3 linked regions of the Callithrix jacchus genome follow. The protein of the gene in region 1 interacts with the protein of each later gene in a biochemical or structural test. Links are inferred from orthologs where the notes say so. Each region holds a gene or a part of one and is shown in the gene's direction. Other genes may lie near its edges.

Region 1 (6,721 bases):
ATGTTTGGCTGCAGTGGGTCATGATCGTACCACTGCACTCCAGCATAGGCAACAAACTGAGACCCTGTCTAAAAAAGAAAAAAAGTGGTGGCATTAAAAAAAAAAACCTGGCCGGGCGCGGTGGCTCACGCCTGTAATCCCAGCACTTTGGGAGGCTGAGGCGGGTGGATCATGAGGTCAAGAGATCAAGACCATCCTGGTCAACAAGGTGAAACCCCGTCTCTACTAAAAATACAAAAATAAGCTGGGCATGGTGGCATGCGCCTGTAATCCCAGCTACTCAGGAGACTGAGGCAGGAGAATTGCCTGAACCCAGGAGGCGGAGGTTGCGGTGAGCCGAGACTGCGCCATTGCACTCCAGCCTGGGTAACAAGAGCGAAACTCCGTCTCAAAAAAAAACAAAAAAAACTTTATTATATAGTTTTTGTGGGTCAGGAATTAAGGGAAGACTTAGCTAGATGCTCTGGCTTGGGGTCTCTTTGGAGATTCAGCCAGTGTTTGGGTCCTGGCTGCTAACAGAAGGCATGACTCAGTGTTGCTGTTGGGAGGAGCTGCGGTTTCTTGCCCATCATTAGGGCTACTTGAGTGTCCATATGACATGGCAGAGTGAGTGACCCAATACAGAGCAAGGAGGAAGCTCCAGTTCCTCTGACTCAGTCTCAAAAGTGACACTCCATCTCTGGTTCATACAGGGAGGATTATTAGGCTTCATCTTTTGAAGGAGAAGGATCAAAAAGTTTGCAGATGTGTTTTAAATCCACCACGAGACCCCAGAGAAGTAGTGATGGAGCTGGGACTTGAGCTCAGGTCTTCTGCCTTCTGCGGTTGAGTGTCCTGTGTGGAAGGACTATGACTCTCAGGCTGTGTCCCCTCTGATCTCCCTCAGTCACACAGTCAGGCATCCTGCTACAGAAACTGAGGTGGGGGTAACCCAGAGGTGCCTAGCCCTCAGCCAGGTCTCTTCTGGCATCACTCCTGGTTACTGGGCATCCTCCCATTGTTTTCACTACAGGTGAAGCGGAGGCTGGACCTGGAAACTGACCATCAGTACCTGGCTGAAAGCAGTGGGCCAGCTCGGGGCAGAGGCCGCCATCAAGGAAAAGGTACCCACGGAGCTTGGGCTGGGCAGGCCCCCTGTGACCAGGCCCGGGTTGGGGGTGTGAACAAACAAACATGCTTTCAGGCTAACGTCTTGGTTCATTGGGCTTGAGCCAGGCCTCTGGGGACCCTGATGGGCAGCTGGAGTCGCTGCCTGGCTTGGTTTACCCCAGCCCTGAGGGTTGAGGAGTTCCCCAGTCAGAATAAGAATGCTGTGGTTGACCTCACCAAGGGGAAGGGGCTGGCTGTCCCCCGGCCCCCATCATCCTGCTGTCCTGCACTGCCACAGAGGCAGGCCTGGCTGGAGGTGGGGTGGATGCTGGAGGGCCCTACTTGCTTGACCACACCCTTACAGGTGTGAAATCCCCGGGGGAGAAGTCACGCTATGAGACCTCACTGAATCTGACCACCAAGCGCTTCCTGGAGCTGCTGAGCCGCTCTGCTGACGGTGTTGTCGACCTGAACTGGGCTGCCGAGGTGCTCAAAGTGCAGAAGCGGCGCATCTATGACATCACCAATGTCCTCGAGGGCATCCAGCTCATTGCCAAGAAGTCCAAGAACCACATCCAGTGGCTGTAGGTACCGGCCACACAGGAGGGCAGGCACACCTGCCCATGCCAGCCTGGAGGAACTGTAGCAGTACCCACTGTGGGCTGTCTGCATCCACATGTTACAGCTGGGGAAACGGGCTCAGGGAAGAGAGGTAGCTTCCCTGAGATGATAGATGCTAAAAAGCACACAAATCTTACATATCCAGCTCAGTTACAGCTTTATTTATTTATTTAATTTTTTAAGATGGAGTTTCACTCTGTCGCCCAGGCTGGAGTGCAGTGGCGTCATCTCAGCTCACTGCAACCACCACTTCCCAGGTTCAAGTGATTCTTCTGCCTCAGCCTCCCAAGTAGCTGGGGTTATAGGCACTTACCACTACGCCCGGCTAATTTTTGTATTTTTAGTAGAGACAGGGTTTCACCATGTTGGCCAGGCTGGTCTCAAACTCCAGATCTGAGGTAATCTGCCTGCCTTGGCCTCCCAGAGTGCTGGGATTATAGGCGTGAGCCACTGTGCCCAGCAGAGCTTTACATATTTATTCATCTGGGTTACCACCATTCAGATCAAGATAGAAGCATTTCCAACACCCCAGAAGGTTCTCTTGTGCCCCTTTCCAGTCACTGCCAACCCCTCACACCACCAGGTGACCACTCTTCTGGTGTCTTATGCCCTCGGTAAGATTTGTCTGGCACGGATGTTTTCTTTTTGTACTTGTTTTATTTTCCCCTTCTTGCCTTTGCCCTAGTCATCCTGCTACCCTCTCTTTGATACACCTGCCTTTTCATTTTTTGGTAGATTGTTCCATTCTACATCTTTTATGTTTTTTTGAGGGGGTGGGGGGCAGTTTGAGACAGGGTATTGCTCTGTCACCCAGACTGGAGTCTGGAGGCACAAGTAGAGCTCACTGCAGCCTCAACCTCCTGGGCTCAATCCTTGTACCTGTAGCTAGGACTACAAGTACATGCCACCATGCCTGGCTAATTTCTTTAATTTTGTGTAGAGGTGGGGTCTCACAGTATTGCCCAGGCTGGTTTAAACTCCTGAGGCTCAAGCAGTACATCCTCTGACCTCAGCTTCCCAAAGTGCTGGGATTATGTGTGAGCCACCAAGCCCAGCCCATTTTTTTTTTTTTTTTAATTTGACAGCATGACTTGGAAATGCTTGTATGTATGTGTCTAGAGCATGCTCATCCTTTTATACAACTGTAATGTTTCATGACATGTCGATGCCATCATTTATTTATCCTGCCCTGGTTGAGGGACATGTAGGTGTTTATAAATATTCGGGCCAGACTTCAAGCCCATGACACACTGATTTGGATCCCAGCTGAGGAGCCAGACCCAGAGAGAAGCAAGGGCTTGCCTGGGCCTCGCAGAACAGAGGCAGCAGCAGATGGGGTCCTGAGCGCCAGAGGGGCCAGACGATGCTAACCCTACCCTCCCTGGTGCCTCCCCACAGGGGCAGCCACACCACAGTGGGTGTTGGTGGGCGGCTTGAGGGGCTGACCCAGGACCTCCGGCAGCTGCAGGAGAGTGAGCAGCAGCTGGACCACCTGATGAATATCTGTACTACGCAGCTGCGCCTGCTCTCCGAGGACACTGACAGCCAGCGATATCCTTGGACTGGCCGGGGGTGTGGAAGGCAGGCTTAGTGCGCAGGGGTCCCACCCAAGTGGGACTAGAGAGGCTACCCTGGGCCCTGGATTCCGGAGAGGATGCTGGTTTTGGTTGCAAGTTCTGGCTCAGCATTTTCTCATTGTGTGACACTGGATAAATTGCTTAACCTCTCTGGGCCTCAGTTTTAGCTATAAAAGGGGGATAATAATATCCAATTCTGAAATTGTACAGATTAAAGCAGAAAAGTGGCTGGGGTGGCTCCTGCCTGTAATCCTAGTGCTTCAGGAGGCTGAGGTGGGAGGATCACTTGAGCCCAGGAGTTTGAGGCTGCAGTGAGCTCTGGTTGAGCTACAGCACTCCAGCCTGGGTGACATAGTGAGAACCTGCTTCTAAAAACTAAATAATAAGTTCCCAGCAGCAGGCCTGCAGTTGTGTTGAGCATTTTACATGGAATTGTTCCTGGTAGCCATCATCATTACTTTGGGATTCAGTTGGTAGAATAGTTCCATTGTACAGATGTGGAACTTGAAACTTGGGAATGAGGTGGCTTTTGAGCAGATGGGGGGGTTGAGAAGACAGGAGTGACTAGGGAGGTGTGAGCCCTGCCTTGTGAAGGTCCTTTGTGAGTTGCTGGAGTGAGTGACCCTCAGAAGTCAAAGTTCCTGTGGTCCTTGACTCTGCCAACCCTGGCCTATGTGACGTGCCAGGATCTTCGTAGCATTGCAGACCCTGCAGAGCAGATGGTTATGGTGATCAAGGCTCCTCCTGAGACCCAGCTCCAAGCTGTGGACTCTTCGGAGGTGAGATCTGGAAACTCTAGGCCCAACTGGGCTGGGCTGGGCTGGGCTTGGGGTCACCTGGGCCTCAGTTTACCCTGCCTGCTGCTTCCACCCAGACATTTCAGATCTCTCTTAAGAGCAAACAAGGCCCCATCGATGTTTTCCTGTGCCCTGAGGAGACTGTGGGTGGGATCAGCCCTGGGAAGACCCCGTCCCCGTCCCGGGAGGCTGCTTCTGTGGAGGAGAACAGGGCCTCTGACTCTGCCACCATAGTGCCGCCACCATCATCATCTCCCCACTCATCCTTCGCCACAGATCCCAGCCAGTCTCTGCTCAGCCTGGAGCAAGGTGGGTGATGGGTAGGTGGGTGGGGTGGGAAAGGGCCACTCTTCTGGGGGGCGGGCAGGCACGACAGCCCCTGTCTTCCTCCCTGCTGGGGCATCCCCGGCCTGTGATGCTCCCCGTCTCCCCAGAACCACTGTTGTCCCGGATGGGCAGCCTACGGGCTCCCATGGACGAGGACCGCCTGTCCCCGCTGGTGGCAGCCGACTCGCTCCTGGAGCATGTGCGGGAGGACTTCTCCGGCCTCCTCCCTGAGGAGTTCATCAGCCTTTCCCCACCCCATGAGGGCCTCGACTACCACTTCGGCCTCGAGGAGGGCGAGGGCATCAGAGACCTCTTCGACTGTGACTTTGGGGACTTCACCCCCCTCGATTTCTGATGGGGCTTGGAGGGACCAGCGTTTCCAGAGATGCTCACTGTCTCTGCAGCCCTGGAGCCTCCTGTCCCTGGCCATCCTCCCAGCCTGATCGGAAACATTTAATTTATACCCCTCTCTCCTGTCTCCAGTAGCTTCTAGCTCTGGGGTCTGGCTACCGCTAGGAGGCTGAGCAAGCCAGGAAGGGAAGGAGTCTGTTTGTGGTGTGTATGTGCATGCAGCCTACACCCACACGTGTGTACCTGGGGTGAATGTGGTGTGTGAGCATGTGTGTGTGCATGTACCGGGGAATGAAGGTGAATATACACCTCTGTGTGTGCACTGCAGACACGCCCCAGTGTGTCCACATGTGTGTGCATGAGTCCATGTGTGCGCGTGGGGGGCTCTAACTGCACTTTCGGCCCTTTTGCTCTGGGGGTCCCACAAGGCCCAGCATAGTGCCTGCTCCGAGAATCCGGCGCTCTGACCAGGCCAGGTGGGGAGGCTTTGGCTGGCTGGGCTTGTAGGACGGCGAGAGCACTTCTGTCTTAAAGGTTTTTTCTGATTGAAGCTTTAATGGAGCGTTATTTATTTATCGAGGCCTCTTTGGCGAGCCTGGGGAATCAGCATAGGGGAGGAGGGGTGTGGGGTTGATACCCCGACTTCCTCTACCCTTGAGCAAGGGCAGGGGTCCCTGAGCTGTTCTGCCCCACACTGAAGGAGCTGAGGCCTGGGTGATTTATTTATTGGGAAAGTGAGGGAGGGAGACAGACTGACTGACAGCCATGGGTAGACGGATGGTGGGGCAGGCCCTCTCCAGGGGGCCAGTTCGGGGCCCCAGCTGCCCCCCAGGATGGATTTAAGATGGGAGAGGTGAGTGGGGGACCTTCACTGATGTAGTGGGCAGGTGGGGTGGTGACGGCCTCCCCCCCCTCCCCGCCCAGACCTGTGGTCCCTCCTGTGGTGTCTGAAGCGCCTGCCTCCCCACTGCTCTACCCCACCCTCCAATCTGCACTTTGATTTGCTTCCTAACAGCTGTTCCCTCCTGCTTTGGTTTTAATAAATATTTTGATGATGTTTGGGCTGGGTTTTGGGACTCTGTTGGGAACAGTTCGGGGCGGGAAAGGCCAAAGTTGCTGGGGAAATGCGCGTTCTCCACTTCCCTTCTCCCGGATTTGATTTGAGCCTCATAATTCTAAGAAAGGTCAGCTTCATCGCTATTTTGGTCCTAACTGAAAAGCCGATCCAGTAAAGGTTTTTGCTGTAGAAAGCCAAGAATGCTAGTCAGTGCTGCCCAAAGTGCAGAGTAATGAGTGACCTCTTCTCCCCAGCCCTAGAGGCCACTGTGCTCAGTTTGCTATCTTCCTTCCAGACGCTTCTGGGCCTTAGTAAACATGCAGCAAATACCATGGACTGGTTTTGTGTCAGGTATTTAAAATTTCTGGGGACACAGGTGTTACCTCCCTTCATGGTGCTCTCAGGGTCCAAAGGAGATTTGCACAAATGAAAAATCAGGAAAGGCTTCCTGGAAAGGGTGGTGCTTGAGCTGAGCGCTGTAGAATAACCAGGAGTTAACCAGAGTAAGAAAACACCAAGCACACCCAGCAGAGAACACGATGGGCAAAGGCCCTGAGCAGGAGGGAGCGGGACAAGGCGGAGAGAAAGCGGTGGCCGCAGGCCTGAGGTGAGGGTCAGCGTTCCATCCTGAGCTTTCATTCAGGGGCCAGGGAGTCCCTAGTGACACCTCCTAGCATTTTGAAAGCTCCCCCTGGCTGCTGTGCGGAGAACGAGTCGCCGAGGAGAGGGGCAAGGACCGTGCCGAGTGCCACAGGGGGCTGGCGTCGGGATGCCTGGGAGTTGGCCGCCTCCGAGCCGGCCTCCGTTGTAAACACTTGACGTTGGATGAGTCCCAACAATCCCGTAGGGTGACTGCCGGTACCATTTTTGCAGATGAGGATACAGACACCCCGAGTGGGGAA
Region 2 (5,589 bases), about 110 Mb from region 1:
GTTAGGGGGTTAAAAATCCTGGAAGATGGTGAGACCAGGATTTGCTCTTTAGGAGAAGTTTTGGGGCTGCTTTTCAAAAAAGCAGAGGTTGGGAGAGTGGAGGAAATGAAACAACTAGAAGTTGATGGTGAAACCAAGCCTCTCCTTCTCCTTATTCTTTTTCATAAAAATTAGGATGAATAAGTAAATTGCTCTAGGCTGGGCGTTAGGAATTCTGGGGTCTGTTCCCATTGCTTGTGCTATCTAGAGACAGTCCCATCAGACCTGACGTGATTAGGAAAGGTCTAGGGATCATCGGACTTCTAAACCCTCACCCCGACCAATGACTTTACCTGCTTTCTCTTTCCTTTAAACCCTTTAACAGAACCACTCACACATTGGGAATACCACGATTTGTGTTCCACCGTCCCTCGTCCTCTTCCTGTTCAGCGGTGGAGCTGCTATGGGAAGAAGTGGACTGGTTAACCCATAAGCAGAGAGCATCAGGCTCTTGGATCCCTGGAAACTCGCTGCCTCCCTCACTTTCAGGGGCCCCGTTTTCCATCTGGCCTTCCTTGGGCTTTGAACCAGGCATCAAAGGCCCTTGGAAGAGCTCTAGTCAGTGGTGGGGTTCTTAGAACCCACAGTTCTCCTCTGGGGAGGTGGTCGTTGGAGTGGATACCTTCTGGTGCCTGTGGGCCCCATCAGAAGCCCCAGTTGCCATTTGCGATATGAGGTCGCTGTACTGTGCGAGACGGAGTAAGGTACAGGAGCGGTTTAAGCAGCCAGAGACTCTGGGTGTAAACTCAGTTTGGATGCAGATACGGAGGTGGAAGAGCATTCTGGCCTCACGGATGCCTCCAGCTGCTAGAGCCATTGCCGGCCTCTTCGTTCCAGCGGCTGTAGAGGCCTCCCAGCAGCGCTGTCTAAGCAATCACACTGCCTCATCTTGTGCTCCTCTCTCCCCTTAGACACATCTGACCTTCGGGAAGGAGTTCACAGAAGCAGTGGAAGCCAAACAGGTGGCTCAGCAGGAAGCAGAGAGAGCCAGATTTGTGGTGGAAAAGGTGAGCATTCAACCAGATGGCAGGAGCCTCTCCTTCCCCTTTCTCCTGCACTCAGCTTCCCCATCTGCTGGGTGGCCTGGAAATTCATCATCTGTCATCCCTTCTTCCGGGATCATCGGAAGGGGCTTGAAGGGATTGTACTTTTGCAATTGGTTCCAGAGTCTTCAGGGGCTAGTCCAGGATATGTGGAGTTCTGTTCCTAAATCACTGAAAGATAATTCTTCTTCCACTTCTCTGAGATCAAAAACACTCTCTTACAAATAAAAATGTTTCTCCTGGAGTATTTTCAGCTTCACTGAGAAGTCATTTTTAACCGTAGTTACATAGTGAAAGCTGACAGCAAAAAAGATCAAACGTTGCACCAGATGTGCTTTCGTCACTAGATTTTTTTTCTGGTGCTAAATCCATCCAGATGTGTCAAAGATTGTGATGGGACACAGTGTATTTGCTTAGCAGCCTGGTCTCTCTGGTATTTGCAAAGACATGTTTATTTCTTGTTCTCCCTCTTCCCACCACCAGTGTCCCTCATTCGGGGGGAGATGGGTTCAGCAAGAAATAAAAGGGGAAAAGAGGGATAGATTTAATTTTGGAGAATGAAAACTCTGTGTGGGCAGGGACTTGTGTCGCTTTGTGTCTCCTATAACTTCAGAGATTTTAGTAAGTCTAGCACAGTGCTTGGCGATAGGTATGCAGTAAATGTGCTGAGCAAACAGACGTGGGGCCCAGCCATTTCAAAATCATACGAAATTTCAGAGAGACTCAATACTGTCTTCTCCTCACACTCCTGAAGGCCCTGCATTGCAGAGAGCTGTCTTCCTAGTGATATTGATAGGGCAAGTCTAGGAGATCTCACTCTGAATGCCTGGGTTCTGGGCAGGAGCCAGCCTATCTCACAAGCAGCTCTAGGAAGTCACTAGTGTGTGCTGCTCTTTCTTCACCATCCTGAAGTTGGTTGGTTGGGCTGAGACAGCATCTCCCTCTGTGGCCCAGGCTAGAGTGCAATGGCATAATCACAGCTCACTTCAGCCTTGACCTCCTGGGCTCAAGTGATTCTCTTGCCTCTGCCTCTCAAAGTGCCGGGATTACAGGCATGAGTCACCACACCTGGCCCAGTCCTGGCCTTGATGAAGCCCTTTAGACTTGGGACTTGAGGGAAAGATGAGCCTTGAGAATTGATTCCACCTTTCTTTTTCTTCGTTCTTGGATCCTCCTGGCCCAGAGTAGGGTGGTTAAACTAGATTACAATTAATATTAATGAGGACTTTGAAATAAGGCAAATATTCATGCAGGGCATGGTGGCTCACATCTGTAATCCCAGCACTTTGGGAGGCCAAGGCGGGCAGATCACAAGGTCAAGAGATCAAGACCATCCTGGCCAACATGGTGAAACCCCGTCTATTAAAAATACAAAAATTAGCCGGGCATGGTGGTGTGCGCCTGTAATCTCAGCTATTCCAGAAGCTGAGGCAGGAGAATGGCTTGAACCCAGGAGGTGGAGGTTGCGGTGAGCCGAGATTGCGCCATTGCACTCCAGCCTGGGCAACAGCAAGACTGTCTCAAAAGAAATAAATGAATAAATAAATATTCATGCAGCCAACAGAAATGTAACCCTCCCCTTCTGTGTTGAGTAAACATGAAAGGAAAGAGGAGGACTGGGTGGGCAGTGTGCTCACCCGCCCGCCATCAGGAGGAAGTAAACTCCCCTAGTTCCTTCAGGAGCCTGGGAAGGCGGCTTTCTGGTGAATGTCCTTTTTGGGTGGTAGCCTGATAATGCAATTTCCTGAGGGTTGATCTTAGTCTCTCTCCATCTCCATTCTTTTAGGCTGAGCAGCAGAAAAAGGCGGCCATCATCTCTGCTGAGGGCGACTCCAAGGCAGCTGAGTTGATTGCCAACTCACTGGCCACCGCAGGGGACGGCCTGATTGAGCTGCGCAAGCTGGAAGCTGCGGAGGACATCGCGTACCAGCTGTCACGCTCTCGGAACATCACCTACCTGCCGGCGGGGCAGTCCGTGCTCCTCCAGCTGCCCCAGTGAGGGCCCACCCTTCCTGCACCTCCATGGGCCGACTGGGCCACAGCCCCAGTGATTTTTGACACCGCCTTCCTTCTGCCCCCACCCCAGAAATCACTGTGAAATTTCATGATTGGCTTAAAGTGAAGGAAATAAAGGTAAAATCACTTCAGATCTCTAATTAGTCTATCAGATGAAACACTTTCCTTCTTCTCACGTCCATCTACTTTTTTATCCACCTCCCTACCAAAAATTGCCAAGTGCCTATGCAAACTGGCTTTAGGTCCCAATTCGGGGCCTGCTGGAGCTCTGGCCTGGGCACCAGCATTTGACAGCACACAGGTAGGGCAGTGCGTGATGGACTGGGGAGCACAGGTGTCTGCCGGGGTCCACAGGTGGCCTCCATCCTGTCACTGATGCTGCAAGATTTGCGAATGAGGGCACGTGGCTGAACTGAGAAGGCAGGCCTCCATCTTCCCAGCAGTTCCTGCGCAGATGCCGCTGAAGAGAGGTGCTGGGGAGGGGCAGAGAGGAAGCCATCTGTCTCTTACCGTAAGGCTGATTCTCTTTAACTATGTGACCAGCGGAAGCAGGTGTGTGTGAACTGGGCACAGATTGAAGAATCTGCCCCTCTTGAGGTGGGTGGGCCTGATTGTTGCCCCCTAGGGTCCTATAACTTGGATGGACTTGGATAGTGAGAGAAGAGGCCTGGACCGAGATGAGTCCTGTCGAAGACTTCCTCCCTACCCCCTACCTTGGTCCCTCTCAAATACCCAGTGGAATTCCAACTTGAAGGATTGCATCCTGTTGGGGCTGAACATGCCTGCCAAAGACATGTCCGACTGCGTTCCTGGCTCCCCCATTCAGAGACTGCCCTTCTCAAGGGCTCTGTGCCTGTGCTGGGAAGGAAACAAATGTGTGTAAACTGCTGTCAATAAATGACACCCAGACCTTCTGGCTCAGCCGTGGGTTGGTTTTTTTGTTTGTGGGAGCCGTGGGATCAGAACAGAGCATTCTAGCAGTTTTCGTGTGCACATGTTCACATTGCCAGCTGAGACAGAATCTCCAGTAAGGCAGAAAATGCTTTGTTTTCAGAAAACACTTTGTGCTGTGTTCCAGATCCATCCCCAACCCGAAGGGAACCTCCGTGGTAGCCGGTGAGGTTTGTCATGGGTGGGCTTGCAGGTGGTGAGGGTACGTGGAGGGCAGTTCACTGTTCTGTGTTTTGGTGCCGCTACTTATGGAGAGTTACGGGCCTTCCCGCCGACTGCCAGTGACACCTTCCCCCAATGCGAGGGAAGTAAATGGTTGTCGTAAATTACAGGTCCAGTAGAGTAGCCCTCAGTTAGATGGCTTGGGGCGCTCTGCAGTGGGTTTTTTGTGGTGGTGGTGGTTTTGTGGATTTTTTTTTTTTTCTGAGACAGGGTCCCACTTTGCTGCCCAGGCTGGAGTGCAGTGGTGTGAATGTAGCTCACTGCAACAATGACTTCCTGGGCTCCAGTGATCCTCCTGCCTGAGCTCCCTAAGTATTCGGGACTACAGGCAGGTGCCACTATAGCCGGCTAATTTTTGGTTTTTTTTTTTTGAGACGGAGTTTCACTCTTGTTACCCAGGCTGGAGTGCAATGGCGTGATCTCGGCTCACTGCAATCTCCGCCTCCTGGGTTCAGGCAATTCTCCTGCCTCAGCCTCCTGAGTAGCTGGGATTACAGGCATGTGCCACCATGCCCAGCTAATTTTTTGTATTTTTAGTAGAGACGGGGTTTCACCATGTTGACCAGGATGGTCTCGATCCCTTGACCTTGTGATCCACCCGCCTTGGCCTCCCAAAGTGCTCAGATTACAGGCGTGAGCCACCGCGCCCGGCCTAATTTTTGTATTTTTTATAGAGACCAGGTTTCACCATGTTTCCCAGGCTGATTTTGAACTCCTGGGCTCAAGCAATCCACTTGCCTTGACCTCCTAAAGTGCTGGGATTAGCGAGCCACCGCACCCAGCCAGTGGGTTTATACTGCTTATTCTGCTTTGCTCTGACTGAGAGGGAAATTGGAAATGCCTTGGCATTTGCGGGGAGCTGAGTTTGTGCATTTGGATGGTGAGGAGGGAAAGCGGACCTCAGATTGAGAAATGAGCTGTGCCAATCACCCACCCCAAATCCTTTTAGAACAAAGTGAAAACAGTGTGCAGTGAGCACACAGCACTGACTGTGCTTTAACCTCTGCTCTTCATTTATCCCCGAGCTCACCACCTGGCCACAGAGAGGGGTCTTTAAGACTCCACAGGCTGGTCTCTGACCTGGATTCTGAATTTCCTTCCCCAGAGTGATCAGGCCACCACCTGTTAGCTGGGGAAAGGGAGACCCGATGCACAGATTTGGGGGTGGAGCCAGGGATTGAGTTCTCCCAATCCCTGCAGCCCGGCACACATGCCTCCAGGGCCTCCCAACAGCCATCCCAGGAGCAGACAACAGTGTGTGATGGACTCCTGACCCTTCGCTGAACCTCAGACCTCCCTCCCATGAGCCTCCCATCCA
Region 3 (7,246 bases), on another chromosome or scaffold:
GCAAAGGCCCTCAGGCTGCACGATTTGTTGGCACCAGAGAGCTTAAAATTCTTAACATAATACTGCAGTTTGAGTACTACCAATTTGCTTGAGACTCCTCCTCCAAGTTTGACTTGAGAAAGATGGAAGCTGCCATGAAGAAAGGCTATTAACATTTCATCCTCTATCCAGAAGTACTTTTATTTCTCACTCCTGATTTTCATACCTCTATATTACTTGGTGGTTGCATTTCCACAGTAAATCAAACGGAGTCTACTTTGAAATGCATATAAATTCAATTGTATTGAGTTGCTTGGATAAAGGGACACAGGGAGAACTACTATAAATAAAATTAATTATGACAAAGTTCTACTTAGAAAACACTTGATCCAAATAACCCCCATATATCACAATTTCTTACCATAAAAATGTGGGAGAAATTAAGATATAGAATTACCTGTAAATTGCTATCATTTTACATTTGGTTCAGCTTGCCTTCTCACTTCTGTAAGTCTGAGTGATGGAAGTTTATCTTGCATGTGAACAATTTAGGAAAGCCAGGAAAGAAGCCAAGTGGAGTTCTCTTCAACAAGGGTCAACAATAAAGTCCTGTTTGGAATCTTCATAAGCTTGATGCTGTTAATTAGGAAAAACTGCATCTGAATTTTAAAATTACAGTTGAGTAAAGGCAACTATATAACTCGCAAATTCAAACTTGTAAATGCTTGATAAATATGCAGTACTGAGAAAGGATGGTTTGCTTTGGAAGGTTATCTTGTCCTAAGTTTCAATGAAAGACCAGATTTTAAGATGTTACTTGCTTCTCATACACCTAGAAAGCTTTTTTTCTTGAAACTTTCCAATGTTTTCCCTCCATAGCTCCATGTATTTTAGTAATGTCTTTGATAGATTTTCTGTTTCTCCTCCTCTAGAAGTGCCTTTTTGTAATTCTCAGCTCTGATTTTATATCATAAAGTCACCAGCTTCTAGCCGGGCGTGGTGGCGCATGCCGATTAATCCCAGCTACTCGGGAGGCTGAGGCAGGAGAATCGCTTGAACCCAGGAGGCGGAGGTTGCAGTGAGTACGCGCCATTGCACTCCAGTCTGCGCAACAAGGGCGAAACTCCATCTCAAAAATAAGAAGAAAAAAAATCACCAGATTTTAATCTCCACAATACAGTTGGAAACACTTAGGACAGACTATCCTTTAGGATAAGTTGCAGAAAACTGTACTTTTTGAAGAATATTTATATAGTAGTGCTGCCACCTAAAGATGAGGTGAACCAAAAAGCAATTCAAAGGAAATAACCTATCACCCTTAAGCCAGTCTCTTTTTCTCACCTCCAGCTAGGAATAAGCTTGTTGTTGCTGTTGTTAATGCAAGTTGAACTGTTTCGCAATAACTTATTGCTGAGCTGTAATTCTCTGTGGCAGAAAATTTCAGACTCAAACTTTTCTAGTCCTCTGAAATTCTTCTCAGCCATCAGGTACTGCCTACAATACATAAGGGCCGGGAGCAAAAGATACTTGGAAGTAAACAACTGAGAGATTTCTGGTTTAGTGGATAAAGCAGGCAATAATAGATCTTAGACTTTTCCCTCTATCAGTGACTGACTCCTTGCAACACTGAACAACTGACTTACATTTCGATAACTCAGTTTTCATCTGTAAAATGGGATTAATTACACCTTAGTCCCACTTGCCTCGCAGGCTCAATTAGATATGCTTCTTGGAAAAGATCCTCTAGGAAGTAAGTTTAAAAGTCCACTATTGCCTAATAAAGGGGCATTTTGTGGTGTATTTGCAAAGTAACTTTAAAACAAAATACACTAAGTTAAATAGGTTGAGGCAATGAATAAGTGTTCCTAAATCACAGTTTGACTTCCCGGAGGTCTATTTAAATAATGATAAAGATTATAAAGGCAGTTCCTATTTATTTTGCAGCAGTTATTAGCTGACCCACGTTCCATCTATGTACTCAGTGTTGCAGGATGGAAACGTGACAGCATAGGCGGCGAGGAAAACCGTTACCGTGCACTAAAATCTTGTCAAACTTGATACGATTTCAAGAAAACTGTCTTAAAGATGATAAATCTTTAAGACTGTCTGAAACACATCTTATAATTCTACATTTTGTCCTTGCATAGCAATTTATGAAAATTAGCTTTTACTCTTTCCCCCTCGGCTCAAGGAAGTCGCATTCCCTCAAAGGGGCCCGGCTTCAATATATTATACTGCGTGGGAGGCTGGGCAGCAACCCCACGCTTCCTGTCAAGGATTCCTGGGGCCAGAGCCTGAAAAGTGGTCTAGCCTCTCTTCTTCATGCTAATTCTGTCCTTCCAACCCCTCTCGGCGGGTGTCTGAAGGCCAAGGTGAGACTTCCCGGGAGATGAAAGGCCTATTGCCTCCTCAGAGACCCGGGCGGAGTTGGGGCGGGGGTGCGGCATGATCCGGTGGCAGCGGCAGCCGCAACGACGCACAGGGACCTAAGTTGGAGCTGGCGCAGGCCCTTCAGGGTTCTATCCCCGCCTGAGCCTGGCTTCGGCCTTCAGAAGCCCAACGAGGAATAAGTCTTCTGTGGGCGTTACGGACGGTGGGTGGAGGAAGTGTGGGCGGAGAGGCCACAGACAGCCCCCTCCTCAGACGCGCCCCAAGGCCTGTGCCGCGGAATGTCTACGCGCCAACAGTCGAGAGGGCGCGCTCACGCGCGAGAAGGGGGCGGGAAGAGCGCGCTCAGCGGCCGCCGCGGCGGCAGCTAAAACGATGGGACGCGAGAGCGAAGGGCGCGAGCCGCGGAGTGGGGAGGAGGGGTGGGGAACGCGGTGCGCGCGCTGACGTCGCCCGGAGTCACGCACGGAGCGCCGGGTTACGCGCCGACGTCTGGCTGCCACGACTTGCCGTCTGCGGCGGCGGCGGCGGCGGTGAGCGGATCCCGCAGGGGAAGGAGGAGGAGGAGGGAGAGCCAAGGGGGCTGTGAGTGAGCGGGAGAAGCAGGGTGTGAGCCGGACTTGCCCGCGGGAGGGAGAGCGAGCGAGAGCCGAGCCTGCCAACAGAGCCGCCTCCTCCTCCTCCCCTCGGCGTCCCGCCCCCGCCTGCCAGCCCGCCCTCTTCCCTCCTCAGCCCGCAGAGCCCAAGTGAGGCGCAGCTCGGCTAGCGCCGCTGTCCAGGACAGGTGTGCGCGCGCGCGCCCTCCTCCCCTCCCCCCTTCCTCGCGCCGGCCTCGCGCGCGTCCTCCCTCCCGCCAGCCTGCGCCCTCCCTCACCTGCGGCAGGACAGCGCCCGCCCGGGTAAGCCCCTCGCGACCTTCCCTGCTGCCACTGCCACAGCTCGAGGTGCCGCCCGCCCCGTCCCTCTACTTGCCCTCTCAGCCCAGAAATAATTATAGTACCATTGCAGACATCCCCGCACCCTCCCTCTCGGAGATCCAGGCGGTGCAGCAACGTTCTCCCCCACCCCCCGCAGCGAGAAACGAATGAACCCCCTCCTACTTCCAAAAGAGAACAAAATAACACGCTCCTTAAGAAAAGAGACAATCCTACCTCCGCAGGCGCTGGAGACCACCAATGATGCGTTTGCTTAGCAATCCCTGAGCCCCATTTCCCCTGGCCGCCTTCTCCCTGGGGCCTGGGACTGTGCGCTAGACGTGGCTGACACTCCCTGCACGGCAACCCTGGGAGGAGGGAGAGGAGGGAGAGTTCTATAACCCAGGCTTTACTGCCAACCCCTCCTCTGTTCAGCTCCCCCCATCCCACCACCACCAAATGTATACACCCGCCCAGGATGCGCTGTAAAAACAAAACAAAACCAGAAAAAAACCTTTGCTGCTGACATCGCAGATGAAGCCAGGCCCAAAGATGGGTGACCCGAACAAGGCATTTTTACTGCCCCACAGCGCTGGGTCAGCTCCACAGCTCCTCTGCCTTTGTCCGAGGGCAAGAGGAACGGATGTGAAGCTGAGGGGTCTTCTCTGTGAGCGGCAGTGGACCCCGGAGGCGGGCTGTGATGTATGTAGGGGAAGGCACCCACCAATATATCTGCCATAAACCTGAACTCGGGTTGGAGAGGCCCAAGAGACTGGCTGGGGCAACTCCGGTTCGTAGCTGTCTACCCTGGAATAAATGCCACGTTCTTTTCCGCGGTGTCTGCGGGACCCTCTGTTGAGGGTTCTAATTCGTTTTGGTCTGGGCTCCTTACGTTTCTGTCCGACCAGGCGCTTTTGGACAGCTTTTCGCAACGGTGTCTATGCTTGTGTTCGGTGTCCTTGGAAGGGAGGTCCCAGAGCTTTACAATAGGCTGGATTTGGTTTGACATCTTTTGGTGGACTGTCAAAGGGGAAAGGAAATTTTTGGATTACTTCAAGATCCCCCACCGCCCCCGCCCAACTGACGTTTGCGAATTGCGGCTTTGAAAATAGGAATGTTGACTAGAGTGTGGAGAGAGTTGCTGATTTCATTGCTTTGAGTACTAGTAAAATCATTTAAGTATCAACCGGAAGGGAGAGAGCTATTGACATTTACATCGGTTCTGTTTGGACCTTTGGGGTACATAAAATGTCGGGTTCTCTGACTCTTTTATCGAATTTAGAATGCCTGCTACATTTATTTAACTCTTCTGCAAATGCTTAAAATGAAAATATTTTGGAAATGCAAGAATTTTTGTCATGTGGATTGTTCTCTTCATATTTTAAATGTTTACTTCATATCTTTAATCCTAAACATTAAAATATCATTGAAGAGGCATGATTTTCAAGATTAAGTGAGCTAAAGAAAAGGGATACGCTTTTAAAGAACGATCCGGGAAATGCTGTTACTATTAGTCGTTGTTGTTGTTAAATGTTAAGATTTGGGAGTTTCCTCTTTTTTGGTAGATACTCGTGAGAAGACATGGCTCATTCCTCCACTTTGAACGTTTGCAGTACAACATTCCAGTTAGTTTTAATGAGTTGGGTATTGAAGATAGTTGTCTGGTTTAAGACTGGTACTTAACCTAAGAACTTGAAAACACAAGCGCTAATGTTCTTTATTTTGGAAATTTGTGATTTTGTAAAATATTAATCAACATATTGTTTCTATTAGGAACTCTATAATAAAAAGGGTTACTACCCAGAGGGAGACAACCTCTTTCTAAGCCTATTTTATAAATGTGTGTTGATTTTTACTTTATAAAACCAAAGCTGAATTAGATTATTTCAGAATCACCTGTAGTTTAGGCTGAAGAAAATTAAAGCTTTTTTCCCTTTTTGTTCTGCCTAATGTCTATTTCTTTGCGCACAGTTTTTTGTTGGTAAGAGTTTGTTAAATACCCAGAGATAGTGGGATTAAAAATAAAGCAGTCTCTATTCTTTTTGAAATGTGTCTGTTGTATTAATAATAAAAGAGCTCAAGAAATCCAGAGACATTATGTCTTTAAAATGTAAGCAAATTTTGAGGAGAAAGGAAATGTTTACTTTTGATAAGTTTTTCATTAACATGGATTTTTGCTGCATATTAATTTGCTGTATATTATATTTCGTTTTCCCTTTGTCTTTCCTACATTGTAATGAAATTACACATTTAGTTTTACAACTATTTGTTTTACAGTAACAAATTCAAACAGCTGGATACTAGAACAGACTTTTCATTCACCAAGTTAGTGTATTGTTTAGATAATTAACAAATGGTTAGAAGTCTTAAAATCCACTCATTTTCTAATGACTTTTCAGTGTTACAATGCAAATATAACTGTGAAGTTTTACTTAAAGTTTAAACTTTTTAAGACTTTTCTGAAAGTTTATATTCATTTCTCCCAAGGAAAGCTGCCTTTCACCTCCTTAGTCTGAGAAAAAACCCACACTTAAAGGCTTATCCTGATATTAACTCTCGTTTCAATAGTGAAAATATGTGAAATATCCTATTTATCATTGAATTATTTTGGAAATGCCATGTTAATCTTGTTTGCTTTTCAGAAACATGTATAAAGTAAGAGAGAAGCTGGCATATAAGGGAAAAGTTTTATACATAGATAATGAATAGCATAAAATAAGTACATATTTATGTGGAGAGATCTAGGTCTCAGTCATTTGCTGATTTGAGCTTAAAATTCTTAGTTTAAGTGTACACATGATGTACAATTTGTGTTCTGTCTAGAAACTTCATAATTGGCTTTGCGCTGGGGAACTAAGAAGTCAGTTGTTGGTGGCAGTCACTTTTTCAGAAAAACAGGGTACTTCCAAACAGATCACTTCGGAATCCCTATATATAGACGTCTAGGACAGAGGGCAAGAAAATTTAGACTGGAAGTTGGGATAGGACGGAAGGCATTTTCGAGTCTTAGTCTTCTGTCCTGGGGGGCCGCAATCAGCACAGAAGAAAGGCAGGAACTGGCAGGGGGTGGGTGGGGCCCTCAACGTATTCTCTTTGGCTTTGTTGCTGCCTTGAATTCTCATTAGGGAGCGGGGGCTTGGTTTGATTCAAGGTAAACTCTAGAGGAAGAATAGCAGCCCTTCTAGATTGGATTTTACCAGATCTTAGCCTCAGTTTACTAGCAAAGCGCAATGCCCTACTCCATTCTCTGTGGAGATCCTGCTACTCAGCCTTTTTGTTCCTGGAGGGGCTGGGGTCTATCCAGGGTCCTGATTGCCACTGTTTGAGCCTGGCGGAGCTACTGCTTCTTCATACATCTATTTCTGTGTAGTGGAAAGTGCTTCAAAAGTTCTGTCTCCCATTCCCAGTAGACTTTGGGACAGGAGAGGGAGTAGAAAAATCAACACGGAAATGATAATACGTGGTACTAAAGGTTGCCCCCAAAGTGGGCAAGTTCTTTATGGAGCCCAAAGCCTGGGTTTTTAATCTCTTGGCGTGGGCCTTAACTTCAGGGAGCCATTTCAAGGACCACTGGACATAGGTGGGGTGTTTTGGGTCCGGTGCACAGGACTGCCCCCCGTTTGCTCTTTGGTGGCCAGGTGCTGTTTGTTTCTTTTCAGTGGGAAGTCGCAAACTTCAGCCCAGGGCTGAAGTAGCTAATGCTGAGTAGAATGGGGCTCTTGCTAAGAGAAAAAGGAAGCTGTGGATACCTAGCAGGCAAGTTTGTTCAGGAGGCGAAGGAATATGTTAGGGGGCTTTGAGGGTTCAGGAATCAGCAAGGGTTATTCCCTAGGCTGCTCTTGGTTTTTTTTATTGTTAGTCCACTCTCTTCTAGGAAGCTGGGCAACCATATTTCCAGTTGTCCCTCTGGCTAAGAGTGAGGGAGGCAAGTCTCCTTACTTTTGGGGGAAGAGATGCTCAATGGG

Evidence for each region.
Region 2: the proteins of E2F1 (region 1) and PHB1 form a complex in vitro, tested with the Homo sapiens proteins (2 studies listed by BioGRID). The link is inferred for Callithrix jacchus from reciprocal best matches to the Homo sapiens genes E2F1 and PHB1.
Region 3: the proteins of E2F1 (region 1) and PURA form a complex in vitro, tested with the Homo sapiens proteins (2 studies listed by BioGRID). The link is inferred for Callithrix jacchus from reciprocal best matches to the Homo sapiens genes E2F1 and PURA.

What each region holds. Positions count from the first base shown.
Region 1 is NC_133506.1:5,619,143-5,625,863, forward strand, and holds the end of E2F1 (transcription factor E2F1), read left to right. Parts: intron 1-1,012; coding exon 1,013-1,103; intron 1,104-1,453; coding exon 1,454-1,673; intron 1,674-3,108; coding exon 3,109-3,261; intron 3,262-3,951; coding exon 3,952-4,066; intron 4,067-4,161; coding exon 4,162-4,393; intron 4,394-4,518; coding exon 4,519-4,766; 3' UTR 4,767-5,821; downstream 5,822-6,721. Other genes in the region: NECAB3 (N-terminal EF-hand calcium-binding protein 3), read left to right, coding at 6,693-6,721. UniProt on the Homo sapiens protein: Transcription activator that binds DNA cooperatively with DP proteins through the E2 recognition site, 5'-TTTC[CG]CGC-3' found in the promoter region of a number of genes whose products are involved in cell cycle regulation or in DNA replication.
Region 2 is NC_133506.1:116,900,913-116,906,501, forward strand, and holds the end of PHB1 (prohibitin 1), read left to right. Parts: intron 1-950; coding exon 951-1,046; intron 1,047-2,868; coding exon 2,869-3,081; 3' UTR 3,082-4,019; downstream 4,020-5,589.
Region 3 is NC_133503.1:38,473,650-38,480,895, forward strand, and holds the start of PURA (transcriptional activator protein Pur-alpha), read left to right. Parts: upstream 1-2,842; 5' UTR 2,843-3,151; exon of another isoform or gene 3,152-3,266; intron 3,267-7,246. UniProt on the Homo sapiens protein: This is a probable transcription activator that specifically binds the purine-rich single strand of the PUR element located upstream of the MYC gene. May play a role in the initiation of DNA replication and in recombination.